Linked DNA regions of Pelodiscus sinensis. The protein of the gene in region 1 purifies or fractionates together with the protein of each later gene. This does not show direct contact. Links are inferred from orthologs where the notes say so. Each region holds a gene or a part of one and is shown in the gene's direction. Other genes may lie near its edges.

Region 1 (7,641 bases):
CACACGTGTATACATGCCTCCACTGGGGGTGTTAGCAGGGACTGCATTCTCATTAGCACAGTGCACAGCAGCAGCTAGGCATATGAAGCACACACGTGTGTACACGCCTCCACTGGGGGTGTTAGCAGGGACTGCAGTCTCATTAGCACAGTGCACAGCAGCAGCTAGGCATATGAAGCACACACGTGTGTACATGCCTCCACTGGGGGTGTTAGCAGGGACTGCAGTCTCATTAGCACAGTGCACAGCAGCAGCTAGGCATATGAAGCACACACGTGTGTCCATGCCTCCACTGGGGGTGTTAGCAGGGAATGCAGTCTCATTAGCACAGTGCACAGCAGCAGCTAGGCATATGAAGCACACACGTGTGTACACGCCTCCACTAGGGGTGTTAGCAGGGACTGCAGTCTCATTAGCACAGTGCACAGCAGCAGCTAGGCATATGAAGCACACACGTGTGTACACGCCTCCACTAGGGGTGTTAGCAGGGACTGCAGTCTCATTAGCACAGTGCACAGCAGCAGCTAGGCATATGAAGCACACACGTGTGTACACGCCGCCACTGGGGGTGTTAGCAGGGACTGCAGTCTCATTAGCACAGTGCACAGCAGCAGCTAGGCATATGAAGCACACACGTGTGTACACGCCTCCACTGGGGGTGTTAGCAGGGACTGCAGTCTCATTAGCACAGTGCACAGCAGCAGCTAGGCATATGAAGCACACACGTGTGTACACGCCTCCACTGGGGATGTTAGCAGGGACTGCAGTCTCATTAGCACAGTGCACAGCAGCAGCTAGGCATATGAAGCACACACGTGTGTACATGCCTCCACTGGGGGTGTTAGCAGGGACTGCAGTCTCATTAGCACAGTGCACAGCAGCAGCTAGGGCATATGAAGCACACACGTGTGTACACGCCTCCACTGGGGGTGTTAGCAGGGACTGCAGTCTCATTAGCACAGTGCACAGCAGCAGCTAGGCATATGAAGCACACACGTGTGTACATGCCTCCACTGGGGGTGTTAGCAGGGACTGCAGTCTCATTAGCACAGTGCACAGCAGCAGCTAGGCATATGAAGCACACACGTGTGTACACGCCTCCACTGGGGGTGTTAGCAGGGACTGCAGTCTCATTAGCACAGTGCACAGCAGCAGCTAGGCATATGAAGCACACACGTGTGTACATGCCTCCACTGGGGGTGTTAGCAGGGACTGCAGTCTCATTAGCACAGTGCACAGCAGCAGCTAGGCATATGAAGCACACACGTGTGTACACGCCTCTACTGAGGGTGTTAGCAGGGACTGCAGTCTCATTAGCACAGTGCACAGCAGCAGGTAGGGCATATGAAGCACACACGTGTGTACACGCCTCCACTGGGGGTGTTAGCAGGGACTGCAGTCTCATTAGCACAGTGCACAGCAGCAGCTAGGCATATGAAGCACACACGTGTGTACACGCCTCCACTGGGGGTGTTAGCAGGGACTGCAGTCTCATTAGCACAGTGCACAGCAGCAGCTAGGCATATGAAGCACACACGTGTGTACACGCCTCCACTGGGGATGTTAGCAGGGACTGCAGTCTCATTAGCACAGTGCACAGCAGCAGCTAGGCATATGAAGCACACACGTGTGTACACGCCTCCACTGGGGGTGTTAGCAGGGACTGCAGTCTCATTAGCACAGTGCACAGCAGCAGCTAGGCATATGAAGCACACACGTGTGTACACGCCTCCACTGGGGATGTTAGCAGGGACTGCAGTCTCATTAGCACAGTGCACAGCAGCAGCTAGGCATATGAAGCACACACGTGTGTACACGCCTCCACTGGGGGTGTTAGCAGGGACTGCAGTCTCATTAGCACAGTGCACAGCAGCAGCTAGGCATATGAAGCACACACGTGTGTACACGCCTCCACTGGGGGTGTTAGCAGGGACTGCAGTCTCATTAGCACAGTGCACAGCAGCAGCTAGGCATATGAAGCACACACGTGTGTACATGCCTCCACTGGGGGTGTTAGCAGGGACTGCAGTCTCATTAGCACAGTGCACAGCAGCAGCTAGGCATATGAAGCACACACGTGTGTACATGCCTCCACTGGGGGTGTTAGCAGGGACTGCAGTCTCATTAGCACAGTGCACAGCAGCAGCTAGGCATATGAAGCACACACGTGTGTACATGCCTCCACTGGGGGTGTTAGCAGGGACTGCAGTCTCATTAGCACAGTGCACAGCAGCAGCTAGGCATATGAAGCACACACGTGTATACATGCCTCCACTGGGGGTGTCAGCAGGGACTGCAGTCTCATTAGCACAGTGCACAGCAGCAGCTAGGCATATGAAGCACACACGTGTATACATGCCTCCACTGGGGGTGTTAGCAGGGACTGCAGTCTCATTAGCACAGTGCACAGCAGCAGCTAGGGCATATGAAGCACACACGTGTGTATACGCCTCCACTGGGGGTGTTAGCAGGGACTGCAGTCTCATTAGCACAGTGCACAGCAGCAGCTAGGCATATGAAGCACACACGTGTGTACATGCCTCCACTGGGGGTGTTAGCAGGGACTGCAGTCTCATTAGCACAGTGCACAGCAGCAGCTAGGCATATGAAGCACACACGTGTGTACACGCCTCCACTGGGGGTGTTAGCAGGGACTGCAGTCTCATTAGCACAGTGCACAGCAGCAGCTAGGCATATGAAGCACACACGTGTGTACATGCCTCCACTGGGGGTGTTAGCAGGGACTGCAGTCTCATTAGCACAGTGCACAGCAGCAGCTAGGCATATGAAGCACACACGTGTGTACACGCCTCCACTGAGGGTGTTAGCAGGGACTGCAGTCTCATTAGCACAGTGCACAGCAGCAGCTAGGGCATATGAAGCACACACGTGTGTACACGCCTCCACTGGGGGTGTTAGCAGGGACTGCAGTCTCATTAGCACAGTGCACAGCAGCAGCTAGGCATATGAAGCACACACGTGTGTACACGCCTCCACTGGGGGTGTTAGCAGGGACTGCAGTCTCATTAGCACAGTGCACAGCAGCAGCTAGGCATATGAAGCACACACGTGTGTACACGCCTCCACTGGGGATGTTAGCAGGGACTGCAGTCTCATTAGCACAGTGCACAGCAGCAGCTAGGCATATGAAGCACACACGTGTGTACACGCCTCCACTGGGGGTGTTAGCAGGGACTGCAGTCTCATTAGCACAGTGCACAGCAGCAGCTAGGCATATGAAGCACACACGTGTGTACACGCCTCCACTGGGGATGTTAGCAGGGACTGCAGTCTCATTAGCACAGTGCACAGCAGCAGCTAGGCATATGAAGCACACACGTGTGTACACGCCTCCACTGGGGGTGTTAGCAGGGACTGCAGTCTCATTAGCACAGTGCACAGCAGCAGCTAGGCATATGAAGCACACACGTGTGTACACGCCTCCACTGGGGGTGTTAGCAGGGACTGCAGTCTCATTAGCACAGTGCACAGCAGCAGCTAGGCATATGAAGCACACACGTGTGTACACGCCTCCACTGGGGATGTTAGCAGGGACTGCAGTCTCATTAGCACAGTGCACAGCAGCAGCTAGGCATATGAAGCACACACGTGTGTACACGCCTCCACTGGGGGTGTTAGCAGGGACTGCAGTCTCATTAGCACAGTGCACAGCAGCAGCTAGGCATATGAAGCACACACGTGTATACATGCCTCCACTGGGGGTGTCAGCAGGGACTGCAGTCTCATTAGCACAGTGCACAGCAGCAGCTAGGCATATGAAGCACACACATGTATACATGCCTCCACTGGGGGTGTTAGCAGGGACTGCAGTCTCATTAGCACAGTGCACAGCAGCAGCTAGGCATATGAAGCACACACGTGTGTACATGCCTCCACTGGGGGTGTTAGCAGGGACTGCAGTCTCATTAGCACAGTGCACAGCAGCAGCTAGGCATATGAAGCACACACGTGTGTACACGCCTCCACTGGGGGTGTTAGCAGGGACTGCAGTCTCATTAGCACAGTGCACAGCAGCAGCTAGGCATATGAAGCACACACGTGTGTACACGCCTCCACTGGGGGTGTTAGCAGGGACTGCAGTCTCATTAGCACAGTGCCCAGCAGCAGCTAGGCATATGAAGCACACACGTGTGTACACGCCTCCACTAGGGGTGTTAGCAGGGACTGCAGTCTCATTAGCACAGTGCCCAGCAGCAGCTAGGCATATGAAGCACACACGTGTGTACATGCCTCCACTGGGGGTGTTAGCAGGGACTGCAGTCTCATTAGCACAGTGCCCAGCAGTGCTCTGGGGCCCTCTCTCGGTACAGACGGGGCAATCCCGGGTAAGAAGGGTCGGGCGGGAGACTCTTACCCGGGATGAACTTCTGCCAGCGCTGCTCCAGGTGGTACTTGAGGCAGCTGTTCCCCGAGGGGTAGATGATGATCTGCTCGTCGAAGTAGCACACGCAGTTGGCCACGCGCGAGCGGAGCCCGAAGACGTGCAGCGGCTGGGCCACGATCACGGACATGGTGGCTCCGCGCCGCGGGGCGAGAGACACGGGGCTTCACTCGGCCAGCACCAAGCGCCTGGTTGCCATGGAGACCCAGCGCTTCTGACCCGGAAGCGGAAGTGAGCATGCGGCGGCGGCCTTGGAGAGGCCGGAAGTGAACTTTCGAGGCGGCGCGGGCTGCGGCGGGTCCACGCGCGTGGCAGGGGCAGGAGCTGGCTGCGGAGGTAAGAGCGGTCGCGCGCTGACTGCAAGGCCCACGGTGCAGCGCGCTTGGCCGGCACGTGCCGTCGCGCCCCAGGGCCGAGCCCCTGCGCCGCGGCCTCGCTCCTAGCGCAGCCCGGGCGCCGCGGCTGCTCTTCTAGGCGTCCGCGTGACGCTGCTCCCTCCGCGGCTCCCAGGGGAACAGGCGGGCGGCCAAGCCGCGTGTGATTCCGATGGCGCTGCTGCAGGGAGAGCGGCGAGCTGTTGTCTCTAGATGTCATGTATGGTAACCTGAAGGGTTATCTGCAGTAACAAACAGAAAGGGGGGTTACACACGTGGCTTTACTACTGTTAACAGTCGCAGCATTAAAAGTCTTTGTTCCCTATAAAATGACGTACTCTCTAAAAGTCAGCTCCTCGCACGCAACCACTGACATTTTCAGCAGTTACACAGTTACTAATTACACATATTTGAACATCCCTAATCCCTGCCTGACAGGCCCCGCGCTGGGACCATGTGTGCTTCTGTGCCGTGAGCTCCATGCTTGTGCCTCTATGTACTGCCCCATGCACAGTCTCACGGCTTCCATTGGTTGGAAACTGGCCAATGGGAGTTGCTGGGGCAGTGCTTGTGGATGGTTTGCTCCCCAACAAGCATGTGGCAGAGAAACAAACATGGCCCTAGCAGCCAGTTACTTTGAGCAGTGTGTGGGGTATGACAGGCAGGGAGCCTGACCAAGAGTCCTGCTGGGATGCTGGTCATGAGACACTTAGGATAAGCATTTCCTGGCTAGATCTGTGCCTGGCACCCTACTTCTGCACACAACCCCTCTGTCCAAGACTCTGTACCCTCTCCAAAACCTTTTCTCCAGGTCAGAATCCTCTCCTGCAGTCATACTCCCTCCCAGATTCTGCACCCCAATCTCCTGCCCCAGGTCACAACCTCCTCCTTCACCCAAACTCCATCCCAGACACCACACCCCTTGCTGTACCCCAATCCCCTACTCCGAGGTCCCTTCTGCACCAAACCTCCATCCCAGACCCCACATTTCCTCCATTAGCATGGAAGAATATGGCTCTTGACCACTTACCAAATTCTTGGAGTACCCCTACCTGAATCTAGCATCATGTCCCTGCACAGGGAATATGACACCATCCACTCTGCAATCAACCATCTCTTTTTGGCCAAGCTGGGTACAAATGAGACACTTATACATCCTTATGCAGGTCTGTAGATACAGAGGTGAATGCAGTATGAGAATTCAAATTGAACAGAGTACATATCATCTTTATCTCTTTCTTTCTTCCAGTTAAAAAGATGGCAGATTATGAAAATCAGTCGTCGTCAGAGTCTGAGTCAGAAGAATCTGTCATCACCGACAAAGAGGTAAACTTCATACCGACAGGCTTGAAAAATATAGAAGACCCTCACAATTTGCAGAATTGTTATTTGCAATTCTGCATATTTGTGGGTGTCTCCTGGCGAGGGATGTACTTGTGTAGTTGACTAAATGATTAACACGCTTATCAGTTAACATTATCTACTACACGCCACACTCCCCTCCCCATCTCCTTTAAGGTTTAGCAGGCTGGTTCAGTCCCAGCTCCCACCTGGTATCAATCCCTGTGACAGCTCTTAGTGCTTATAGTGCAGAGCCGCAGTGGGGATTGATACTGGGTCCTGGTGCAAGCTGGGACTGAGCCAGTCTGCCCGCATGCCGGCTTTTAGTGCCAGGACCGGTATCAACCCCCCCTTGCCACTTTGCAGTACAAGTGCTTGTAGTGCAGAGCCACAGGAGGGGTAGTTGGTGGATTGAGTGGTAACAGTGCTATCCCTTATCAATTAGTTGTGTAGTCAACCAAGTTTTTGTTTACTACACATTTAACAGATTTACTCGCTTCTTAATATCCTTACTCCAGGCTTGAGTGGGACACGGGGGCCAGCAGCCATGGGGGACTTACCTTGGCTCCCGGCCTCTGCAGTGAACTCACAGTAGTGAGTTCCATGGTGAGTTTGGAGGTGACTGGGAGCAGTGACTCCCAGCATTGGTGAATTTCGCCATTCGCAGTGGTGCCAAGAATGCAGCTACGGCAAATTGCAAGGGTTTCCTGTATTTCTCAATGCTGTGTGGGGAAAAAGAGAGAGAATGCAGATGAGAACACATAACACTATACGAGGAAAGGAGTTGTGGTAGAGGGATAAGTTACAATGTCAAGCGTCCCCTATTAGACTAGCAATGTTCCACCACAGCATACTGCAGGGGTGGGCAATAATTTTTAGTGGAGGGTGGGGGCGGCATTCCAAGAGTTTGGTAAGTGGTCATGGACTACACTTCTATGGAGGGGTCAAAATGTTGTACCAATAAAAGCAAGCGGGATCTTATGAGAGGGATAAGGCAAAAAGCCACATTTATTGTAAAGATAAGAATAAAGAATAAAGAAAAGATAGAAGCAAACAACGTTTTTTAACTACTTATTCCTATCACTACTTAACCTTTATACATATACATATACATATATATAAACATTCATTCAATCATTCATCCATTCATTCAAGTTCTATGTATTTGTTATAGTTACCAGCCTGGAAGTTGCTTGTGACAGAATACTGGCCAGGTATTCTGTACACAAGTGATGGTAGTGGGGAGCGAAGTCCTGATCAGATGCACATCTGAAGCTCCTGGTAGGCTGTCAGCAGAACCTTGGACTCTGACTCCATAGTCTTTTAGTCCAGTTCTTATAGGAATTTCTTCCTATGCCAGTCTATGGAAATTGCTGCATCATGCTGATGTCCAGGGTGGCTGTCAGGTGCTTGTCAGTAATCTCATAGGGTGGACCTCCAGTACTTGGTTTTCTCCACTTGACACCTTTTGGTTGCACTGGCACCTGACGCCTTCTTCAGCCCTTTGTTGCTGCATTCTCAGGC
Region 2 (7,121 bases), on another chromosome or scaffold:
TGCAAGAACATCTTGCGCAAGAGTTCTTGTGCAAGAACACGTCCACACTGCCATGTGCAAGCTGTGCTTTTGCACAAGAGCATCTATGGCAATGTGAACGCTCTCTTGCCCGAGAAAGTGCCGATGGCCATTTTAGCCACAGGGCTTTCTTGCACAAGAAATTCATGTTGCCTGTCTACACTGGCCTCTTGAGCAAGAACAGTTGCACAAAAGGTCTTATTCCTGAGTGGGAGCATCATAGTTCTTGTGCCAGAAGCCCTGATTTCATACATGAGAATGTCAGCGTACTTGCGCAAGAACACATGGCCAGTGTAGACAGGAAGCATGTTTTTGTGCAAGAGTGGCCACTTTGGCGCAACATCGCACCAGTGTGTAGACAGCCAAGGGGAGGGGGGCAGGGAATCAGTGCTGGCTCAGCATGTCTGCATGGTTTGGGGGAAGGTGCAGGGAAATTGAGCTCAGCTGGGTTGCAGAGTGGGGAGGTCCAGGAAGTTGGGCTGGGCTGCAGGGTGTGTGTGTGGCACGCTCAGAGCTCAGTTTGGCTGCAGGAGGATGGAGGTGCTGGGAACTGGGGCTAGACTCAAGTGGAGGGAGGGGCAGGGAATTGGTGCTTGGCTCAGCAGTTTTGCAGGGTTTGGGGGAGGTGCAGGGAAACAGGGCTCAGCAGTCCTGTGGGGGGAGGCATGCAGGGAACCAGTGCAGGGCTCAGCTGGGTTGAGGTGGATGGGGGAGGGCATACGGAACAGATGGGCAGCTCAGCTGGGCTGTGGGGGCTGCAGGGAACTGGTGCTGTGCTCCCTTGGATTGTGGGGGATGGTTTTGGGAGAGGTGCAGGGAACCAGCAGGGGTAGGCAGCTCAGTTGGGTTGCAGGGGATAGAGGTGCAAAGAAGCTTAGTGGGGAGGAGGGAGGGGCGGGAACCAGGAGCCCTGAAATGACCTCCCTGGTCCAAAAATCCCTCATCTGGGACCAGTCAGGTCCAGAGGGTGCCGGTTCAGAGAGATCCAATTCCTTCCCAAGTCCCCTCCTTGCACCCTCCCTCATAGCCAGACACCCTACCCCCAGTCTGCTCCTGCTTCCTCCCCCTGGTCAGACACCCTACATCCAGCCTGCTTCTGCACCCTACCTCCCACCCAGACCTTGCCCCCTTCTGCCCCCCCACCTCCCTCTCAGATCTTGCACCCCATCCCTATCCTGCTCCTTGGCAGCCCTGCCATCCACCCTAGCACCACCCTGTCCCTGGCCCCAACCCCCTGCCTCACACCCCAGGACTCAGCACCTCCCTGGCCCCAGCACCCTGCCATCCACGCTAGCACCCAGTAGCACCCTGCCAGTCACCCTAGTGCCCAGCAGAACCATGTCCCTGACTCCCGCCACCTGCCTGCCCCAGCACCCCGTCACCTGAGCCAGCATCCTTCCACCCAGCAGCACCCTTTCCCCAGCCCCAGCACCCACTTTCACTCTGTCCCCTGCTCCCACCAGCACATTTGGGACCACATTAGTGAGGCTTGGGGGTCTTTGGAGGGTTGTTGGGTTTTTAAAAATGAAGGCTGGCCAACAAACCCCCAATTGGGGCCAAATCCCCATCTCACTGCAGCATCATAACACTCCTGCACCACCTGACCCCAAATCTGAGCCTATCATACACTGGAACCCCCGGGCCTGAGCCTCTTACATCCCCAAACTCCTGCAGCCCCACATCCTTAGTCTTCTGCCACCACACTCCTGCACCATCACACATGGCAAATCTGTGTCCTGAGTCCCTCACATATCCAGCCCAAACCCCAGCACCCCCACATCCATAAGCCCATGGCTCACTCAGCACCCCAACCTTCCACCTGAACCCAACACTCCTGAGCCTGGAGCCCCCTCTCCGAGCCAACATCCCCTTCTCCTGCATCCAAATTCCCTCCCAGAGCTTGTACTTCTCACCCCTTCCCACACCCAAATCCCTCATTCCCACCCCAGACCTCTTGTCTCAACCTAGTGAGTGTGTAAGGGCTGGGGATGGCAAGTGATGGAGAGGAGGGGAACAAAGCAGATGAGGCCTCAAGGAACGGGGGTGGAGGTCTTGAGGAAGGAAATGTGATTTGCATGCATTTGGTGGGTCCCTTTTGCCACCCCTTTTTTTTTTTTTTCTTGACTAACCTAGGGGTTCCTTGAAATTCTGAAAAGGGTTCCTTGGCCAAATACAATTGGGAAACACTGCCCTAGTTGATAGAACTTTGCTTCACTCTAGTCTGCTCATTAGTAGGAGGGCATGTACCAGCTGGGTGGGTGCTTTTGGTAAAGGCTCCTAATGCATGTTTTTTCACCCCCCCTCTCCCCCCCCAGGTGGCCCAGCAGCAATGAGACCTTGGCTTGGTACTGTTGACTTCTCAACCAAGCTGAAATTATCCCTCTGCCTGATGTTCCTGAGAGGGTGCTGTTCCCCTTGGCGGACGTTGCTGCACAGGCCTCCCTGTGGGAGAGGAAACTCTGTGGCGCCAGCCTGCACCAGCTAGGAGCGTGCCAGGGCAAGAGGGGACATGACGGACTCTGTACATAGTGACTGGAGGCCACAGAGCCACGTCCTGTTACACAGAATCCTGGCTGCACTGCTCGCTGCTTCAGCCTGGAGTTCCATGTTTTGTTTTAATCTTATTTTGAGTTTGTTTACTGAGATGAGTGTACAGATGAGACCAAGCAAAAGCCAGGACAGAGACACAGCTACCTCCATCAAGATCGTTTTTAATACAAAAACTGACTGGACTTGTCCACTAATAAAACAGCTGAAAAGACCGGAAAAAATCTTGATAAAACTGAAAAATAAAGGTTTCCTTGTATTTTATTCTGCTGTCTGCAGTTAGCTGTGCCAAGTAACAGGGAGAGGAAATACTAGAGGATAAGTAAGCATGTCTGCTGGAAAGGCAGAAATGGTAGCACTATGGTAAGGCCTATCCTTTCGCATAAGCTTTGGCTTTGTGGAGCACTGAAGAGAAGTTATCCAATCCTTGCATGGGTGATGAGCTGCTACCTCCTCTCTAGTGGAGGTCTGTTCAACCTGAGCACTAGTTCAGGTCAATAAGCTGCCTGATTTTTTTTTTTTTGACTTATCAGCTGGTGGTAAGAAGCTATTCATACAGCTCAGCATTGGTAATGTCTAAACTGCAGTTAAAAACCTGTTGCTCTCCTAGGTTAGCAGATTCAGGCTAAGCCTGTTTCATTGCACTGTGGAGGGTTTGGCTGCTCTAGGAGGTAGGGAGGGAAGAGAGTGCCAAAGCTTAGCTTCCACACCACTGCAGCCTCAGTCAGGTGTCTCAGTGCAGTGTAGAACTGTCCAAAATGCCAGCAAGAAAATTGGCACAGAAAGCCTTGCACCTACATCCCTCTCTGGTTATTTTCATCCTAGTGTGTAAGAAACCGGGTGTAAGTCACATGCTGTTGTCAGTATAGGCCTAGCCAGCATCACCTTGGCTCTGTTTCTAACGTGGCTACATTTTTAGGTTAACTCCTTATCTTTCCAATGTGGGAACGGAAGGGGCTGTGTGCTGTGAGCTAGCTAAGGGCTACTTTGTGTGCACTCAGAGCAGCTGCGCGGCCAAACCGTGTGTGTGGCAGACACGCCTGCTACTCCTCCATTACACTTAAGGGGAGGAGCAGGCGCGAGTATCCACAGGCCGCTGTCATTGACTTTAGCGCTGCAGCCTGGGGAAAGCTGAGGGCTGCCTTTAAGCGAGCTTGTGCCATGATCGAACAGCGGGGGGGGGGGGCCCTGCCCGCCGGCCTGGTCTGTATCGCCCTGGGGCAGCTGTAAGCGCCGCTGCTGCGCTGCGTGGGGCTAAGCACAGCGCCTCCCCGCCGCTGCAGGGCCCGGGGCGCGCGCTAGTGCCCGGCCGAGCCCCTCTGGAACGGCTCGCGCTCGCCTCGGCCCCAAGCTGGACGGGCGGGGGGCCGCCGCCAGGGGCAGCGCGCGGGGCGGTGCGAAGAGCGGGAGGCAGGAGGCAGGAGGGGCGGTGCCTGGCCAATCGCAGCGCGGGGGGGGCTGAGCCTGCGCACTGCGAGGCGGAGCTGTCCCCGGAAGGAGCTGTCGGCGCGCACGTGGGGCCGGAAGGTAGGTGGCGGGCCGCGGCCTGGAGCCGGGCGGGTGAAGGCGGCAGCGGCGGCAGGAAGGGCGCGAGGCGCGGGCTGCGGGGGGGCGCTGCTAAGGGGGTCCCGGGGGGGCGAGCGGCGGTCTCAGAAACGCGCCGGGGGGGGGGGGGTAGGTCTCTGCCCCCTTCAGCGGGCTCGTTTGCCGCCTCCCTCCAGTCTCCCCGCACTGAAAAGCGGCTTCCCGGCCAAGTCCGAGCCAGGGTGCCCGCGTGTGGAGGGTGTTAAATGGTGAGAACTGGCGAGGCGAATAGCCCGTCCCTTTTGCACCGACCATTTGATTAGTCGATAGGGCGCCTTGGCCTTTGAAGTGTGGGGCTGTTGCTACCCGCAGAGGCAAAAGCCCCATGGGGAACACGGGGTCAACTGGGAACTTCCCCTCTTTGAAAATGCCACCTGCAGATTCGGGACATCCCAGCTGGCCGTGGGCTACATGCAGCGTTTCAAAGCAGCAGCGCTGTGTGGACCCCTGGGTCTGGCCCCAGGCTACAAGTGGTACTGCTGCTTTGAAGTACCCTCTTCTTCCCCTGCCCCTTCCTGCCTCTATCTGATAGAAGCAGCAAGGGGTGAGATGGGGGACGTGACTAGTCAACTATCCAAAATAAGCATTTGCTTATTGGATAGTCAACTAGTCCTTCACATCCCTATTTGTCATTGTATCATCTAGCGTTAAAATGGGAATGTAACATTGATACTTGTATGTCTGTGTACAGTCCATAAAGAAGTATAAATAAATAACTGTGGATTCTTAATTTATACTGACTTCACTAGTGATTTTATGTAGCCTGTTGTAAAACTAGGCAAATACCTAGATGAATTGAAGTATCCCCCAGGGAGAAACATAGCCCTGGTTGACAACCATTGTGTTAGACACAGAGGCAGGCAGGCTGAAGAATTGCTGCCCTAAAGCAGTAGTGGGGAACCCTTTGGGTTAGAGACCACTGAACCACAGAGACATCTGTCAGAGGCTGCACAAAAGTGAGAAACAAGGGGAAAAAACCACCTCATTGACATGGCCCCCAACTGAAAAGCAGAAAGACACTCTCCACATTCTGGGGCTAGTAGATTTTGAGGACTTCCCAGGCTCTGGGGTGGGGCCAAAAATGGGTTCAATGTGTGGGAAGCAGGCTTGGGATATGCTGTTTAGACAGGAGGGATGGTGTAGGAGTGGACTGGGGATTGATGCGACTGGGAAGGTGGTAGGGTGTAAGAATGGGCTGGGTGAGAAAGTGAGGTGCAGGAGCAGAGAGGAGTATGAGGTCTGGGCAGAAGATGGGGTGGGGTTCTGGGAAGGAGGTAGGGTGCAAGAGCGAAATAGGGTTGGAAGGGCTTGGCGATGGGTTCGCTTACTTACTGCAGCTCCCTGGGGATGCACATAGGGATGCGCCCGCTCCCTGCTGTTCCTATTGGCCACAGTTACGGCCAATCAGCCTGGTGGGGAAGAAGCCTTCAGTCAGTGCCTTGCTGCGCTGCCACTTCCTCCTTCCCCTCCCCTGCCCATCAGATAGAGTCTGTGGTTCAAATCCAGCCCTGGCTTGTCTGACTGCAACCCGTGAGGCTAAGCGCTCCCTCCACACAGGAGAAGCCGATGCTGGCACTCCAGCCCCATGGGGAGACCACTGGGCAGCCACAGGGCTGGAGCACAGATGCCAGCTCCCCAGTGCTGGCAGGGACCTTTGAGCCTCAGGAGCTGAATCAAGGCAAGCTGGGGGCCAGATCTAGCTCCCAGGCCTAACCCTACCCCTGCCTAAAGGAATCACCCCCTAGTTTGCAATGTGTGTGGAAGGAAGGTCTGTTCTGTTTGTTTTCCTCATTCTTCTTCCATTACTTACCCCACAGGGTGAACATGGGGCGCAAACTTGATGTACTGAGGAAGGAGAAACGTGGCCCGGGGCGCAAAGCCCGCAAACAGAAGGGAGCAGAGGTAGAATTAGCCAAATTTCTTCCCCCAAGTAAGTGTGTTTGTTTCTTTACCATTTTCTGCACTTCTCTCTCTACCCCCCACCTACATATACAATCACACCTGGATGGGCTCCTAAATAGGGACCTCATCCTGTTCTTTGTCCTTCTGGTACCAGTTCCTTGATTTTGTGTCATCTTTGTTTCTAGCTACTGATAGCAGTGGAAAAAAATTATCCAGCCATGCACGAAAAAGGTGAGTGTACAAGTACACCAGTGAATTCTGCTCTAAAGAGGATAAAATTCAGGACACTAGTTGCAATCTGGCAGGTCCAAGTCAGAGGGAGTTGTTAGGCTTTCTGGTGTAAAAGGGTTTATCAGTTCATTTATTCTTGTGTTCGTTTTTTCCATGTGTTTTCAGGGCTGCAAAGAGGCGAATGGGATCAGGAAAAGCCCAAGCAAGGAGGAATCTGCTTCAGCTAAAAAAGGCAACAGATGAGGGGGAGATGGATGGCACCAGCCTGGGTGTGTGTTTAACAAGTTGACTGCTCATTATTTCCCTAGTGGAAGAGTTCTGGTTGGTCTACGCTTTTTGCTCTAATTCTTCTCGGAGTGTTTTAATACCATTCTCCTCACTTTCATCCCCAGCTGTGAGCAGAGTAGGAGTCTGGCATAGCTTGTGTCCTATCAAAGAATGGACCTCTCTTTCTGCTTCCCTCACCTGACATCCAGCGTACTGTGGGCATCCTAGCTAGGGCTTCCAACGCATGCGTTGCACAGGACTAAGAAGGGACTTGGCTCAAATTAAATTTGTAAAACCTAAATGTTTAAAATTGCGTCTCTTCAGTAATCCTGGCCACTGGGACAGTATCAGACTCTTTTCTGCTTTCTATCCTGATTCTCCATAGTATACAGCTTCCAATGCAGCGGTCGCCATCCTGGACCTCAGGATGCACAATAACCTGGGCTCGGGATACTTAAAAGATCACTGAAGGATCTGGAAATTTTGGAGGGCCTAGTTCAAAAGTGAAGAGAGATTTTCACAGACTCTGAGAACCACTTAATAATGAGAATAAGAAGATTGTATTTATGGGA
Region 3 (7,852 bases), on another chromosome or scaffold:
TCACCATCAAGAGTGCAACAAGATGTAAACTAAGTGCATGTAGTCAGGATCTTTTAAGAATTAGTACATAGCTTAGACAAAGAAAAACCAGATAAGTATGACATTTGGATGACAGTAGCCTTTTACAATTTTTTAATAAGCTATAAATGTTAAAGCAGAAAGCTCTCTCCATCAATCAGCAGATGTTCAGTGCACTACTATACAACTTAAAAAACACAACTTGTCATTTCCAGTATGCCTTGGATGATAAGTGCTTCCAAAAACAGAAGACAGCACAATTTTTGCCTTGAGGAGCTCTTAATCTAACAGTCAAGTAAACAAGCAGCAGCAGAAATAAGTGAACTCATTAAACAAAATATGACTTCTTAAAAATCAAAAAAATAAAACCAAGCAAGTAGGTAAAAATTTAAGACTACAGAAAGAGCTAATTTTCTTTTTGCTCCCTTCAATTCCCTTTGTGGTTCTTTTTTTAATTATCCCTACACCTTATTTGGAGGGATAGATTTAATTACACGAAACGTTATTAGAGATATCTGAAAAGGGTAAGTGTCAATAGTAATCATATTAAACACATGTTGAGAAAAAATAATTTAAAGTATTGTTTAGGGGTCAGGAGAGATGCAACGAGATGTATGTCAAGAGGAGTGAACTCAGTACAGTAGGGCTCACTACAGTAATTGCTTGATAACTTAAGACAACAGTGAACTCCTTAAAAGATGGATGATATCTGAATGCAGAAAATTTTGAGATCCTGAAATGGAAGATGATGCATAAATGCAAATAATGGGATGGTATTAGGGAAAGGGAAATAAGGCTGAATATTAGTAAAAAGTTTTCAAAAAGTGATATTTAGTCAACTGTAGAACTGTCTTCCATTAGGGAAGTGATTGGATCATTAATATGATCCATCTATATTCATAGCTTTGTCTGATGTGAAGAATATATCCATAATGAGCAATCCAGCACTGGCCTTTGAGGCTGCACATAATGACCTACACAGGGGTGGGCAATAATTTTTGATGGGGTCCACTCCAAGAATATAGAAAATGGTCAAGGGTAGGACTTTTCCATTATATTAATGGAGGAGGTGTGGGATCTGGGATGGAGGTTGTTCTTCACACAGTGCACAGTCAACCTGTGGAACTCCTTGCCAGAGGAGGCTGGGAAGGTTAGGACTATAACAGAGTTTTAAAAAAGAGCTAGCTAAATTCATGGAGGTTAGGTCCATAAAAGGATACTAGCTAGGGGGTAAGGAATGGTGACCCTGGCCTCTGTTTGTCAAAGGCTGGAGAAGGATGACAGGAGACTAACTGCTTGATCATTGTCTTCGGTCCACCCCTTCTGGGGTACCTGGTACTGGCCATTGTCGGAAGACAGGATACTGGGCTAGATGGACCTTTGGTCTGAACCAGTATGGCCATTCTTATGAGGCTGGATGCAGAAGAGAGCTTGAAGTGATTGGGGTGCATGAGGGGTTGCGAGCTTTGGGAGGGAGTTTATGTGAAGGTGGCAGTTGTGACCTGAGGTACAAGAGGGGGTGCAAGGGTTTGGATTGTGACCCATGGCAGGAGGGGGTTGCGACATGGGGCAGGGGACTGGGGTACAGGAGTTTGGGTTGTGACCTAGAGTGGTACAGGAGGGAGGGCAGAGGGTTTGTGTTAAGTAGCATATGGGTGCAGGGTCATTTGTATGTGTGTACAGCTAAGAGCTGGAGAGGAGAGGTACTTTGCATGCTGCTGTGCTTCAAACAGGCAGGTCCCATTGGCCAGAAACCGACCATTGGAATTGTGGTAGGGGCAGGGGCAGCACATGGAACCTCTTCCCCTCCCCAGACAAATGGCCCGACAAGTCACTTTTCTGAGCAACGTACGGAAGAGGGGCAGGCAGGGAGCCTGTGTGAGGCTCTTTGCTGTGTCCATGGGCTGCATCCAGTGGTTTGTTAAGCTGCATCCAGCCTGCAGGCCTTATTTTGCTCTTCCCTGACCTACAAGGTCTTTTTCCACCTCTAACTAACATCCAGCAGTATTGCATGGCACTCGCTGGGTCAGATTCTCCACCTTATTCCTACCATTTTGATACTTCCTCTCCAGCACCTAAAATAAACTGCATGCCATTCCTTATTCTCTCCAACAGTCCTTCTGTCAAATACTTTGTTTCCATTCCTAGATAATTGTAGAGACAGAAATGTAGCCGTGTTAGTCTGGTGTAGCTGGGACAAAAAACAGGACTATGTAGCATTTTAAAGACTAACAAGATGGTTTATTAGGTGATGAGCTTTCGTGGGCCAGAGCCACTTCCTCAGATCAAATAGTGGAAGAAAATTGTCACAACCATATATACCAAAGGATACAATTTTAAAAAATGCACACATGTGAAAAGGACAAATCAAATTTCAGATGTGTTCATTTTTTTAATTGTATGCTTTGGTATAGATGGTTGTGACAATATTCTTCCACTACAGTATTTGATCTAAGGAAGTGGGTCTGGCCCACCTAATAAACCATCTTGTTAGTCTTTAAAGTGCTACATAGTCCTGTTTTTTGTTCTAGATAATTCTAGTCTCTCTCATACTTTCCCTGGCTTATTTAATGCTCTCTCATCTCACAGTGGCTTCATACTATGTGCTAATACAAGACTCAATGCAAAAATAATGGTGATCCTCTCACATGCTATCTATCTATATTTTTTAAAGTGCATGTGCGTGTCAGTCCATTTGTTCACAAACTCCTCCTAAATGGTAAGAGCTAGGGCCACCAAATTTGGTGTGTAGTAAGGATGTTAAAAACTGTGTATTTGTGTAAGCATGTGACTGCTGAAATTTTTAGTGGTTATATGTTAACACATGGAGGGTGGGTAGGCAGGAGGGAGCTGGTGCTCACGGGGAGCCGGCTGTCTGCAAGCATCAGCTCCCGCCTACCCCCTCCTCCTGCTGCTGCCTTTCATGGTGGGCAAACAGCTCCATGGGCTAGAATTAACGGATAAACCTGGGCAAATTCAGGGTTTGGTTGTGCCAAGAAAATGAGATGTGCCTAGAATTTGATAGTTTTCCATTACATGGAAAGGGAGGGGAGCAGAGAGGAGAGATCCTCACACTCACTACTGGGGGGTAGTGAGCCCACAGGAGAGCTATCCTGCAGAGTGATCAATGAGGGCAGCCACACTAGCAAGAGTGACCAGCTGAGGATGGGACTCTACCACCTTAGCTGCCAATTGTAAGTGGCCTCCCTGTCTAAAACCCCTCCACCTGCCGTACCATCGGGGCTGGCCAACCCAACCCCAGCTGCCCCATAGGACCCCCAGCAGCCTGGGAGAGACCTTCATGCACCCATCACCCTGCCCCCACTTCCCAAACCCTGGTCTGGGCCTTCCCATGTCCCTGGCCCAGGCCCCCTGGCAAGCACTGAGCTGCCCCTCCCCTCCAACTCCAGCCCACACAGGGTCATCATTCCCCACCACACCCCCACCCACATCAGATGTAGGCAATCAATGCTGAGTAAGTCTGCTAGTAACAATAATAAAATAGCAAAACATTTCCATCTCTGATACATTAAGAATTTAACTCCAGCATTTCTGAATACTATCAACATCTACACTATTGCAAGTCTAGAACTGAGATATCTAATGCCTTGCATCCACTGGTCTCATCTTTTTGTTTTTTGTTTGACTGGATTATGTCCATTGGGAAAGCCACTACCAAGTGCAAGAAAAAGGGAAAAAAACTGTAATTTTAAACACGTGAAAGACTGATGACAGATATATTAATGGTCTGATGATGTGCTGGGCTCCTTACCTGAATAAAGGCATTTGCCTGCACACATTTTGCATTTTCCACTGTTACCTTGATTCCATTTCTAGTTGCAAAACACGTTGCATAGTCTTTAAAATGAATCGCTTTTAGGATATTCGAGAGGTTTCTGACATTGTCAAGACTGGCGACTAAAACATACTGATCATCGGCAGTTTCCAGCTGAGTAGAGAGGGGCATTATTCGTTTGCATTCACCACTCCAATCTTCCCTGTGACCGTATATGTGAGGCCTGCAGGGGCAGTGTCAAAGAGAACCTAAAACAGAGGTCACATACTTCTGTTACTCTAACCCGCTGGTGGTCAAGGACAGGCGGGAACGGCTGCCCGGCTGGCAGCTGCGATGACGCCCCGGCAGCAATGCGGTGGTGAAAGTGACCAGACGGTACAAGTGTAAACGTGTCGCTATTGCTGCTGCCCGCGAGAGGGGCTGGAGTTCAGTGCAATGAAAGCGGCGGAGGAACAGCGGCCCCAGGCCGCGCCGGTCGCTGGCTACCACGCGCCCCGTCCACTGGCGCTGCAGCCCGCCGAGCCAAGGCCCGTGTCCCGGGCGCTGCAGGGCAGAGCGCCCCACGCGGCTCCCAGCCGGCGGCGCCCCAGCTTGGGCGACACGGACGGTCCCGTTGCACGAGGCGCTCGCAGGCCAACGGGCCCGCGCTGGGGAGCCGGCGGCCCCGGGCCGAGCGGGGATGGGGAGAAGCCGCACCCGGATCCTACCTATTCCCTACGAGGCGGCGCTCGCCGCCGTGCCTTACGGCTGTCGTAACACGAAGGCCGCCCAGAGCCGGGCAGCGCGGCGGCGCTGACCATAGAGCGAGGGGCGGAAGAGCAGAGCAGCTTCCGGGTGACGGACGCGTCACGTGTAATGAAGATGGCGGCGGCCAAGAGGAAGCGTGGAGGGGCTGCGGCGCGGCCCAAGAAGCGAGCCAGGGGGGCTCCCGATGGCAGCGGGCCGTGGGCCAAGCGGGGCCCGCAGGGAGCGGAGAGGGAGGAGCACAGCATCCCGGCTCCTGTCTGCAAGGTAGAGAGAGCGGCTGGTCCCGCTTCTGCCCGAGGCCTGTGCACCCCTTTCCCCGAGAGTATTGGCACAGTCCGGCCTGTCTCCATGCGGCGCCTGGGCTGAGAGGCTGGGGAGCCATCGCTTGTGTTCTCGTTCTTGGGGGTGGGAACAAGGTCACCTTAGCTCGCCGGTCCCGCTGCGGGAAGGGTCTGGTCTGGCTTTGTCTGGCCTGTTGGGATGTAGCGGGGCGGAGGAGGCCGCTTAAGGGAAGCATCTGCCTCAGTCCTTTTTTTAGCGATATTGCCTTATTTAAAAAAACACTTGTCTTCCCTGTAAGTCATCCATAGTCTCAGAGGGCCGCCCCCTGCTTAGCGTGGAAGGGAGCAGAGTAAGGATGTTAAGTAGCATGTAATTGACTAATCAAATAGTTGATGCACTTTGGATGCGCTTTTGCACTATTCGATTAGTACTGCATGAAGCCTTTCAAAGGGGCTGCACTTCATGGAGCCCGGGGTTATCTGGGGAATCCCCAGCTGATCCTGGTCTTTGTGCTGCACTTCCCCTTTGAAAGGCTGCACAAGGCATTTCAAAGGGGCAGTGCTCCGTACGGCATTGCTGATTTGAATTACCCCATCTTCTCCCCCCCCCCCCCCCCCACACACACACCTTGCTGCCTCTCTGATAGAGGCAGCAAGGGAGGGAAACGACTAGTCAGCTATCCTGTTGACTATCTGATAAGCATTTAACTAGTTGACTAGTCCTTAACATCCCTAGAGCAGAGCACTGATCTCCACAGAGATAGGTGTTGTCTTGATCTGTGTAGTCACCCATACTCTTCATATGAGTACAGCCCTGTGTGGATATAAACATGTGGATCCACATCTGACCAACATTGACTAGAAACAATGTGTATCTGATCTGCATCGGTCAACAGCAGCAAACCATCTCTCAGCGCTTGCTCTGAAGAGGCGCATCTGGGTGTATGTGTGGCCTATGGCTTAATAAAATGGGCACACCAACCATATTATTGTAAACATCAATCTGAATTTTATAACCGTCGTCATTAGAACAAATATTTGGAGCGGCGTTGGAATGCTCCTGCTGAGGAGTGTGGCTGGGGCAAGAGTGCTTATCCTGTTCTGCCCTGTCAGGTGCTCCTTACAGGGAGTGGGACAAGCACCTGTACCCCAGCCAAGTTTCTTGTCAAGAGCGCCCCAACCCCACTCTCCAATAAGCTCTGAGGGCACCCTTCTCCCCATCAGTGCTGTTACTCCTCACTTTCACAAGGAGTATGGAAAGTCAATAAGTGTGTTTCACCCATGGACTTCCTGCTGTGGGAATGGCACCAAAGTTCAGCTTAATGTACGTCAACTCCAGCTATGTTGTTTATGTAGCTGGGATTGCGTACCTTAAACCAACTTTCTGTACTATAGACTTGACCTTAATTCTTCACTCATTCTTCACCTTAAAATTAGATAACATAAACACTTCTGTACTACCACTGTATGCAGTTTAACTTTCATGTACTTAATGTCATTTTGCTATATTTAGATATGTTTTCTATCAGTCTAGATTCCTGTCCCATCCCTAACCCTCATTGTTATTGTTTAAATGAGAAAACACAGATTTCATGGTATTTACCCTTTCTGTCTGCAAGCAGGTACATCCTGTTACATGAAGTTAATCACACCCTAAGAGGGGAAATTTTATGTGACCATCCTCAAATATTGACACTGAAAACGTTGAATTGATTAGGATTTTTTTGTGTAGGAATTAAGTAGTTAAGTGTGGAAGATCAAAATTGATCACGTTAACATTTATATATGCAGCCTGTTGGAAAGACAGCACTTTATTTTAATTGAAAACTTTTGCACAAATACAGTTTTAAAAAAATCACAAATATCTTGATTAAATATTAACTTTGATTTTAAAAAGTTGAAGATTAAAATTTTTTTTCACCTTTGTGTTTCTTTTAGGGTAAATGGAAAAACAAAGAGCGGGTGCTTATTTTCTCTTCTAGAGGAATAAATTTCAGAACAAGACATCTAATGCAAGACTTGAGAACATTGATGCCCCACTCTAAAGCAGGTAGGGTCGATAGGTACTGCTTTTATCTAACTCTGTCACTGTTTTTGGCTAGAGTGTTTTAGTAAACTACTGTCTGTTATTGACATTATTCCATTATGCTACACAGAATATCTGTTGGACTCTAAGATTTAGGTTGTCAAGTGATTAAAAAATTAATCATGATCAATCATGATGTTAATAATAGAATATCATTTAAATAGTTTGGATTTTTTTACATTTTTAAATATATTTATTTCTGTAATAACACAGAATACAACGTGTATAGTGCTCATTTTATATTTTTGATTAAAAATATTTTCAATTCACCTAATACGACTACTGCAGTACATTCTCTTTATCATGAAAGTTGAACTTACAAGTATAGAATTACATGCAAAAACCCCTGCATTCAAAAATAAAACAATAAAGTCTGCTCAATCCCAATTCTTTTCCAGCCACTTGCTAAGAGAAACAAGTTTGTTTACATTTATATGAGAGTTTGCTGCCTGCTTATTTACAATTTCACCTAAATGTAAGAATAAACTGTAACGTGGCATTGTTGTAGCTGGCATTGTTAGATACTAATGTGCCAGATACGCTAGAGATTCATGTCTCTTTATGCTTCGACTATCATTCCAGAAGACATGCATGCATGCTGATGATTCTGTTTGATAACTTTCCAAGAAGTGCAAAGTGATGCATCTTCATTTTCATCATCTCATTTAGATGCAGGAGGTTGATTTTCTATTTTGGTGACTTGTGTTCTGTAGTTTCTGTAGAATGTTGCTTTTTTAAAGACTTATGAAAGCATGCTCCACATCTCATCTCTCTTAGATTTTAAAATGCACTTCAGATTCTTAAACCTTGGGTCAGGTGCTGTAGCTGTCTTTAGAAATCTCACATTGGTACCTTTTTGCATTAACACTTTTTTAACATGGAAGCATGTTCTCTGGAATAATGGCCAAATCATGAAGGGGTATA
Region 4 (7,927 bases), on another chromosome or scaffold:
GGCAGGACTGGGACCGGGCCAGGCGGGGTGGATTAGGGAGTCGCAGCTGATGCTTCAGGACCCCCTGGGGGCGCGATGTGCCTGATCTAGCACCTGAAGGAGGAGAGGGTTGCAGGAAGGGCTGGGAGCGGGGCAGACGGCCCAGGAGTGAGGCAAGGGCTGAGTCCGCCCTGCAGGCGAGGTGAGGGCAGGCCCTGTCTGAGGTGCGGGCGGGCTGCCCGGGGGGAGCGCAGGGCTTAGGCTGACCCGTCTGAATCCTCCGGCATCTTCCGCCCCGCGCGGCGTCACGGACACTCGCGGCATGGCCAGGCCCCGCTCCAGCGATGCCTGTGACCCAGGGGCCCTCTCAGCGACGTCTGGGGGCTCCACGCACCTGGCCCAGGTCTCTTGCACCTCGCTCTCAGCCCAGAGAGGGAGCGCGAAGCCAGCCCCCCACAGCGCACACAGGCCTGTTTGAAGGGAAAGGGGCGTTATCGGCACTAGTCAGGTCAACCCGCTCTGTACAAAGCTAACACGGTTCTCCAGGAGGCAAGTGTCATGATTATGCGGGTCAGCCAGCAGCCTGGGGATTAAGGGGTTAACTACACCTAGCCCGGTGGAGTGGCCGATAGGAATGTACGTAGGACTTTCAAACTGGGACAAAGGAATTTGGGTTTTTTCCTCCTTTGTCTCTCTGGGCCAGTCCTCTGCAGCTACATGTCTCTCGCTCTCCAAGAAACAATTCTTCACTTTCTGTAATCAGGGTGAGGGTTAGGTAGTTTCATTAGGCTTTATTGTTTTAAGGGTTGGGTCTGGGATCTGAGATCTGGCCCTGCTTAAGAGATGTTTGGCTTTTCTTTGTAACTAAGTTCTAGCCCACGGTGTAATTCCTCCATGGCTGCGTCTACACTGGCAGGATTTTCCGAAAATGCTTTTAACGGAAAAGTTTTCTATTAAAAGCATTTTCGGAAAAGCGCGTCTCGAGTGGCAGGATGCTTTTCCGCAAAAGCACTTTTTGCGGAAAAGCGTCCATGCCAATCTAGACGTGGTTTTGTGCAAGAGAGCCCCGGTCGCCATTTTCGCGGTTGGGGCTTTTTTGCGGAAAACAGTCCTGTGCTGTCTACACTGGCCCTCTTGCACAAATGATTTCGCAAGAGGGCTTTTGCCCGAACGGGAGCAGCGTAGGATTTCCGCAAGAAGCACTGATTTCTTACATGAGATCGTCTGTGTTCTTGCGGAAATTCAAGCGGCCTGTGTAGACAGCTGGCAAGTTTTTCCACAAAATCATCCAATTTTGCGGAAAAACTTGCCAGTCTAGACACAGCCCAGGAGTATATTTTGTGACCTTTCCAGCTGATCCTTATGCTCGCAACAGGAATATTGTTATAATAATAAAAGTTTTCTCTTTTCTTTTAATTAACCTGGCAGTGGTTACTGGTGTGTCCTGATTTTTATAATAGGGGTGAGATTTCCCAAATAATCTTTCCCCTAATCTTATTAATATTTGGATGGTGGCAGCGGAAGTTTTATTCCCAAAATCTAGGTTTTTAAGATTTTGGGGGAAGTTTTATGCCAAAGCCTGGTAGATAAGGCTTTGGGGTACACCTGCGGGCCCCCACTTCTGCATTGATCATGCCAGAGTGGGGAAGGCAGCAAGCTCGGTGCGTCCTTTAGGCCTTACTGAGGCTATGCATAGGGGGCTCCTGCTGACGCCTCGAAACCTCGCCCTCCCCCACGTCCAAGTACCACTGACATCCCGTTCCCAGTTTGTATTCCCTTCCCCCCACGTGCGCTGAGCTGTGAACAACCATCGGGGAAGCCGCCTGCAGAACTTGTGCTCATGGAGGGAGGGCAGAAGAGCCAATGGCAGGATGGGCCGTCTGGCGTGGATGCCACCCTGCCCCTGGGGCCCAGCACTTCACAGGAGTGACTGTCGCTCCCAGCAGCAATGCACCTGCAGGCCAGCAGCTCCGCCAGGACCCTTTGCCTACAGCCATGGACAGGTCGCTTGTTCGCGTCATCAGCTCCATTTTGGTCCTTTGGGACGGGGAGAAGCTGTTTGGAAGTGGGGGATGGGTTAGAACCTCTCCCCTGTGTAAGGGGGGCTGGGGGGCACAGGGAGCACTGGGGTGTCTGAGGGGAGGTGGGGGATGGGTTAGAACCTCTCCCCTGTGTGAGGGGGGCTGGGGGGGCACAGGGAGCACTGGGGTGTGTGAGGGGAGGTGGGGGATGGGTTAGAACCTCTCCCCTGTGTGAGGGGGGCTGGGGGGCACAGGGAGCACTGGGGTGTCTGAGGGGAGGTGGGGGATGGGTTATAACCTCTCCCCTGTGAAAGGGGGGCTGGGGGGGCACAGGGAACACTGGGGTGTCTGAGGGGAGGTGGGGGATGGGTTATAACCTCTCCCCTGTGAAAGGGGGGCTGGGGGGGCACAGGGAACACTGGGGTATCTGAGGGGAGGTGGTGGATGGGTTATAACCTCTCCCCTGTGAAAGGGGGGCTGGGGGGGCACAGGGAGCGCTGGGGTGTCTGAGGGGAGATGGGGGGATGGGTTATAACTTCTCCCCTGTGTGAGGGGGGCTGGGGGGCACAGGGAGCACTGGGGTGTCTGAGAGGAGATGGGGGATGGGTTATAACCTCTCCCCTGTGTGAGGGGGGCTGGGGGGCACAGGGAGCGCTGGGGTGTCTGAGGGGAGATGGGGGGATGGGTTATAACCTCTGACAGGTAGTGGGGGTGCAACTTTTATAATCCCGTGTTGGCTCTGCTGTGCTGTGTTCGCTGTAATTCCCGATGACTCACCGAGATGTGTGCTGGGGCCAGACACAGGAGATCATAGCCCTTGGCCTGGAAGGGAGACAGGACAGGCGGGGCTGCACCAGACTGGGGGGTAGGGCCTGTGGGAAGGGTCAGTCTCCACTGGGCTAGGATGAAAGAGGAGGCGGAGAGCAGAAAAGGGGGTGAGGGACCCCGGGAGCCCTCCTCACCATGAGAGGAATAAGGCTGCCTGCCCTGGCTCCTGGGTTACCATCGATTCTGTGCTACACTGTCCCTGGGAACCGATTAACCTTCAGTTCTACCTGCCGCCTGCGGGTCACATCTGGCTGCAGATGGGGATGCAGGGGCGGGGACCCCCGACGCGTCATCACAGTGGTGTCGGGTGGGATGGACTGCACCCCGTGGATGGAGCATCCGGCGGTTAAGTGACTGGGGCGCAGGAGAAGGAAGGGGGCTTGCAAGAGCCAGGCGTGCGGGAGGCAGAGAGAAGCGATTCCAGAAAGCCAAGGGGCAGGCAGCTTAACCCGAGCGTGACTGCAGAGAAGGAGCGTTCCTCAGGACAGGGAGTGGCCCTCAAGGAGCCGGGTGCACTGCGGGGTTCTTCCTGGGAGGCATGGGGTACTGCCACCTTGGCCAGTGTCTGCCCCGGGGAACGGCGGGGAGATGGCCTACACCTGGCTGTGCAAGGGGAGGGGCCTGCCCTTGGGGAAACTGACCAAGGGGAAGGCCCAACTAAGTGCCCAGCTGGAAGAGAATGAACTGTCTGGGGGCCTGGATCCTGCCCCAGCTGGGAGCAGCCAGACACCCCCGGGAGTGCTACAGGGGGCTGGAGTCTGGCTGACGGACACGGTGCCCTTCAGGCCACACTGCCACCAGCGGTTCGTCCCAGCTGGGCTCTCCCTCCGCGGAGCTGCACGGCTGGAGACCAAGCTGCAGCTCAAGGAATTGGAGGGTTGTATGGAACAACGGCAGCAGGAGCTGGCCATGGCAGAGCAGAGAAGCAGAGGGGCCCAGGGCTGCAGGTCCCTTTGAGAGGTTCGTGCTGTCCCAGTGTAAGGATGTATGGGACTTGAACGGGTTTCTTGACTCTTTTGAGCGAGTCTGCGAGCTGCACCAGGGCCCCCTAGCCAACTGGCTCCAGCAGCTCACCCCTTTGCTGGATCAGAAGGCCGCAGGGGTGGAAGGGCTGCAGCCCGGGGACTACGAACGGGTCAAACAGGCCCTGCTGCACAGGTTCGGGCTGACTCCCGAGACGTACAGGAAGAAGTTCCAAGGGGTGCAGAAGCACCCTGGAGAGACCTACGCAAACCTGGACTCCTGCCTGACGCACGCACCCCAACCCCAAAGCGCTGCAGTGTGCAGGGAAACTGAGGCACACCCCCCCCTCGGAGCACTGCAGTGCACAGGGAAACTGAGGCACGCACCCCCCCTCGGAGCACTGCAATGCGCAGGGAAACTGAGGCACGCACCCCCCCCTCGGAGCACTGCAGTGTGCAGGGAAACTGAGGCACGCACCCCCACCCCAAAGCGCTGCAGTGTGCAGGGAAACTGAGGCACGCACCCCCCCCCTCGGAGCACTGCAGTGTGCAGGGAAACTGAGGCCCACAGGGAGGCACAGGACAGAACCGCCGCAGCCCGACCAAGCGAGCAAGTGGGGCGAGGGAAGAGGGGGTACCCGGGGGGGGAGGGGGGGTCTGCTCTTCAGCCGAGGCCAGGCCGGACCAGGGCCCCCCCCCCCCCACGCTCCTGGCCAATGGCCGAGCAAGCCCCGCCCCCCGTCACCTCCTAGTGCGCTGCGGCGCAGCAGGAGAACGCCCCCCCGCGCATGCGTACAGAGCAGCGGAAGCCGCCCACTGCGCCGCGGAGACTGGCGGAATCCACCGCTCTCGCCATCCCATTGGCTGGTGTGGGGAAGAGGCGGGCCTAAGGACGCTCCCGCTGCCCCATTGGCTGGTGTGGGGAAGAGGCGGGCCTAAGGACGCTCCCGCTTTCCCATTGGCTGGTGTGGGGAAGAGGCGGGCCTAAGGACGCTCCCGCTGTCCCATTGGCTGGTGTGGGGAAGAGGCGGGCCTAAGGACGCTCCCGCTGCCCCATTGGCGAGTGAGGGAAAGGGGCGGTCACTGATTGGTGGAACGGCCGGTTTCCGGTTCCTGCAGGCCTCTAGCGGCCCCGTTGCGTGGGGTGGCGGCACGATGGTGAGCGGCCTGCGGGGCCCATCCGGGCCCATCCCCCCCGCGGCAGCCGGTTCGAGCCCGAGCGTGGCGGGGCTGCGTGCTGGGGGGCCTGCGGGACCCGGGGAGGCGGGGAGCCGGGCCGATGGGGGGAGGCCCGGGGAGCGTGCGGGATTGGGGGGCGGCGGGGAAGATGGGCGGGGGGCAGGTTCGGGGGGGGGGGGGCGGGAGCGGGGAGGGGACCGGGGGGAGCGGTTGGGGGGGCGGGAGCAGGGAGGGGACGGGGGGGGGCCGGTTGGGCCGGGGGCGGTGGGGGGGGAGGGGACCGGGGGGGGCGGGAGCAGGGGGGGGCGGGGGGGCCGGGGGCGGTGCGGGAGCAGGGAGGGGACCGGGGGGGGGCGGGAGCAGGGGGGGGCCGGGGGCGGTGCGGGAGCAGGGAGGGGACCGGGGGGGGCGGGAGCAGGGGGGGGGGCGGGAGCAGGGAGGGGAGCGGGGGGGGGCCGGGGGCGGTGGGGGGGTGTCCTACGCGCGCTCACGGCCCCGCTTGCAGGTGCTGCTGCACGTGCTGTTCGAGCACGCGGCCGGCTACGCGCTGTTCGTCGTGCGGGAGGTGGAGGAGATCAGCCTGCTGCTGCCCCAGGTGCGCCCTGCCGGGGGGGGGGGGGGGGTCCTGGTTTATTCTCGCCCCCGAGGGCTGTTCCCCACCGCGCTGACCTTGGGCCCGGAGCGGCTGCCTCCCTCCCTTACTCCCAATCGGGCGGTGGCTGCCCACGTGCTGGGGTGGCTCCGCAGGAGGCTCCCTGATCTGACCCTGCAGGGTTGGGGGTTCCTGCCTAGATGGATCCTTGCACCAGCGCAGCCCTACCTGTCCAGTTGTACCCGCCAGTACCCAGGACCAGCTGTGTATAGCGTGGGGCTTGCTAGGCATGGGACTGCTGCTTGGCGGTAGGCCCCTGACTGGGCTACATGTGTACGAGGGATGTGACTAGTTAACCGGTTCACTGGTACCCAAAGGGGTGTGAGCAGGCAGCAACAGCCCCAGCGTTGTGGGAGTAGGGAGCAGCAGCAGCCCCTGTGTGGCCAGGGGACCAAGCTGGAGCGGTCTCCTGGGATCTTGTGCTTGATTGGTTAAACATAGTGCTTACGGGATTAACTGATTAAGGGGGATTTTACATCCCCAGTGCGGCCGGGGGATGTGAGAGCATACCCTAACCAGCGAGCCTGGGCTGATCAGTTAATCTTCACGCCTTAAGGGCACCCCCCTTCCCCCACATGGCCACTTCTGCTACAGAGGCAGCAGCACAGAGGGGCACACGCTAGGAAGCTGCCTGCCCCGCCCCTGCTTCCTTGGGCAGTGAAGATGGCTCCGCTGGAGCCCCTGCTTGTGTGCAGCTGGATTAAGTCGGCTCCCTGCAGGCGCTGAGCCCCTCCCCCTGGTGTGTAAACGTGTAGCCGTGTTTCCGGGTTTCTTCAGAACCCCACATCTTAACGGCCCTAGTGTGAACCCAGCCAGCAGGCCTGGCTCTCTGTGGCCAGGCAGGCGGGTCGTGCTCTTGGCTCCCACCTTGTGCAGTGATGAACAGCCCAAATCTGTCAATCCACTGAAAGCGGTGATGCTGCGCTGTGTCTGAGCACAGGTGCGCAAGTGGGGGGCACTTGCAGCTGCGCTGAAGGGGGCGCTGCTGTCCGTGTTCCCGCCGGTGGAGACGGCATCCCTGCCATGCGTGTTGGGGGCTGCGGCCGTGCAGCCGGGGCTTTAGCTGCATTGTGCTCCATCAGAACCTGTGCGCGCCTGGGCCCCTGCGGGTGTGGTACCCCAGCCTGCCCTGTGTTACTCACCCGCTGCCCTGTGCCCGCCCCAGGTGGAGGAGAGCATCCTGAACATTGGCAAGTTCCACAGCATTGTCAGACTGGTGGCCTTCTCCCCGTTCCGATCCGCCCAGAGTGCCTTGGAGAACATCAACGCGGTCTCAGAAGGTGAGGCTGAGCTGGTGGCTTGCTCCCCGTCAGCCTGCGACGGGTGGCTGGGCCAGGAGCGGAGCTTGCTGCCCTCTTGCTCCCATCCATGCCCTGTGGCTCGCCATCCAATAACTCCTTCTCCCTGGGGCAGGGATCCTCCATGAGGACCTCAAGCTGCTCCTGGAGACCAACCTGCCGGCCAAGAAGAAGAAAGTGTTGCTGGGAGTCAGCGATGCCAAAATCGGGGCTGCCATCCAAGAGGAGCTGGGTTACCAGTGCCAGGCTGGCGGGGTCGTAGCAGAGATCACACGAGGTGAGGGCGTGCGCGAACGAGGCCCAGACGGCTATGTTCTGGCATGGGGATCCTAGCAGGCCCCCTAGGGATCATGTCTGGTCCAGTCCCCTGGTGCCCTGCCTGTGTGGGAGCTCAGGTGCTCACTCGGGGCTGCCCTCCTTGGCTTGTCACAGGGTGGGCGGTGTGGCTGCGAGGGGTTCCGTACTCACCAGACACTCTGTGCAGGGATCCGCCTGCACTTTCACACTCTGGTGAAGGGCCTCACTGCCCAGTCGGCCTCCAAGGCACAGCTGGGCCTGGGGCACAGCTACTCACGAGCCAAAGTGAAATTCAACGTCAACCGGGTGGACAACATGATCATCCAGTCCATCAGCCTGCTGGACCAGCTGGACAAGGACATCAACACCTTCTCCATGCGCGTCAGGTGAGGGCTGCTGCAGGGGTGCTTGCCCGGGGCTTAGCTGGAACGTGCACTGTCCCTCCCCATGCTTACCGCAGGCAGCGCGACTTCCAGCGCTGACTGCACAGAAAGGGGAGGAAGAGCATCTGCCCTGCGTACACCCCAGCCAGGGAGCCTGTGACCTGGGCTGTCTTGTTAGCAGGGAGACACGGCCGTGGGGCGGGAGGAGCTGGCGGGTCCATGCTTCCCTCCTTGACTGCTCCCCTCTGGCTCCCGCAGAGAGTGGTACGGGTATCACTTCCCGGAGCTGATCAAGATTGTGAGCGACAACTACACCTACTGCTGCCTG

The links.
Region 2: the proteins of EBNA1BP2 (region 1) and NOP2 fractionate together in Homo sapiens (co-fractionation; 3 studies listed by BioGRID and IntAct, with this or other methods). This does not show direct contact. The link is inferred for Pelodiscus sinensis from reciprocal best matches to the Homo sapiens genes EBNA1BP2 and NOP2.
Region 3: the proteins of EBNA1BP2 (region 1) and BRIX1 purify together in Homo sapiens (affinity purification with mass spectrometry; 4 studies listed by BioGRID and IntAct, counting the BioPlex papers as one, with this or other methods). This does not show direct contact. The link is inferred for Pelodiscus sinensis from reciprocal best matches to the Homo sapiens genes EBNA1BP2 and BRIX1.
Region 4: the proteins of EBNA1BP2 (region 1) and NOP56 purify together in Homo sapiens (affinity purification with mass spectrometry; 4 studies listed by BioGRID and IntAct, with this or other methods). This does not show direct contact. The link is inferred for Pelodiscus sinensis from reciprocal best matches to the Homo sapiens genes EBNA1BP2 and NOP56.

Annotation. Positions count from the first base shown.
Region 1 is NW_027465825.1:545,723-553,363, forward strand, and holds the start of EBNA1BP2 (putative rRNA-processing protein EBP2), read left to right. Parts: upstream 1-4,603; 5' UTR 4,604-4,738; intron 4,739-6,025; 5' UTR 6,026-6,033; coding exon 6,034-6,102; intron 6,103-7,641. Other genes in the region: CFAP57 (cilia- and flagella-associated protein 57), read right to left, coding at 4,376-4,532. UniProt on the Homo sapiens protein: Required for the processing of the 27S pre-rRNA.
Region 2 is NC_134711.1:138,759,173-138,766,293, forward strand, and holds the start of NOP2 (28S rRNA (cytosine(4447)-C(5))-methyltransferase), read left to right. Parts: upstream 1-3,981; 5' UTR 3,982-4,092; intron 4,093-4,204; exon of another isoform or gene 4,205-4,358; intron 4,359-5,966; 5' UTR 5,967-5,973; coding exon 5,974-6,079; intron 6,080-6,236; coding exon 6,237-6,282; intron 6,283-6,447; coding exon 6,448-6,551; intron 6,552-7,121. Other genes in the region: CHD4 (chromodomain-helicase-DNA-binding protein 4), read left to right, coding at 2,334-2,351. UniProt on the Homo sapiens protein: S-adenosyl-L-methionine-dependent methyltransferase that specifically methylates the C(5) position of cytosine 4447 in 28S rRNA. Required for efficient rRNA processing and 60S ribosomal subunit biogenesis.
Region 3 is NC_134716.1:107,060,238-107,068,089, reverse strand, and holds the start of BRIX1 (ribosome biogenesis protein BRX1 homolog), read left to right. Parts: upstream 1-4,641; 5' UTR 4,642-4,669; coding exon 4,670-4,825; intron 4,826-6,780; coding exon 6,781-6,892; intron 6,893-7,852. Other genes in the region: cell cycle checkpoint protein RAD1, read right to left, coding at 3,791-3,985. UniProt on the Homo sapiens protein: Required for biogenesis of the 60S ribosomal subunit.
Region 4 is NW_027465891.1:299,381-307,307, reverse strand, and holds the start of NOP56 (nucleolar protein 56), read left to right. Parts: upstream 1-4,845; 5' UTR 4,846-4,945; coding exon 4,946-4,948; intron 4,949-5,474; coding exon 5,475-5,564; intron 5,565-6,786; coding exon 6,787-6,901; intron 6,902-7,034; coding exon 7,035-7,196; intron 7,197-7,403; coding exon 7,404-7,602; intron 7,603-7,654; exon of another isoform or gene 7,655-7,790; intron 7,791-7,857; coding exon 7,858-7,927. UniProt on the Homo sapiens protein: Involved in the early to middle stages of 60S ribosomal subunit biogenesis. Required for the biogenesis of box C/D snoRNAs such U3, U8 and U14 snoRNAs. Part of the small subunit (SSU) processome, first precursor of the small eukaryotic ribosomal subunit.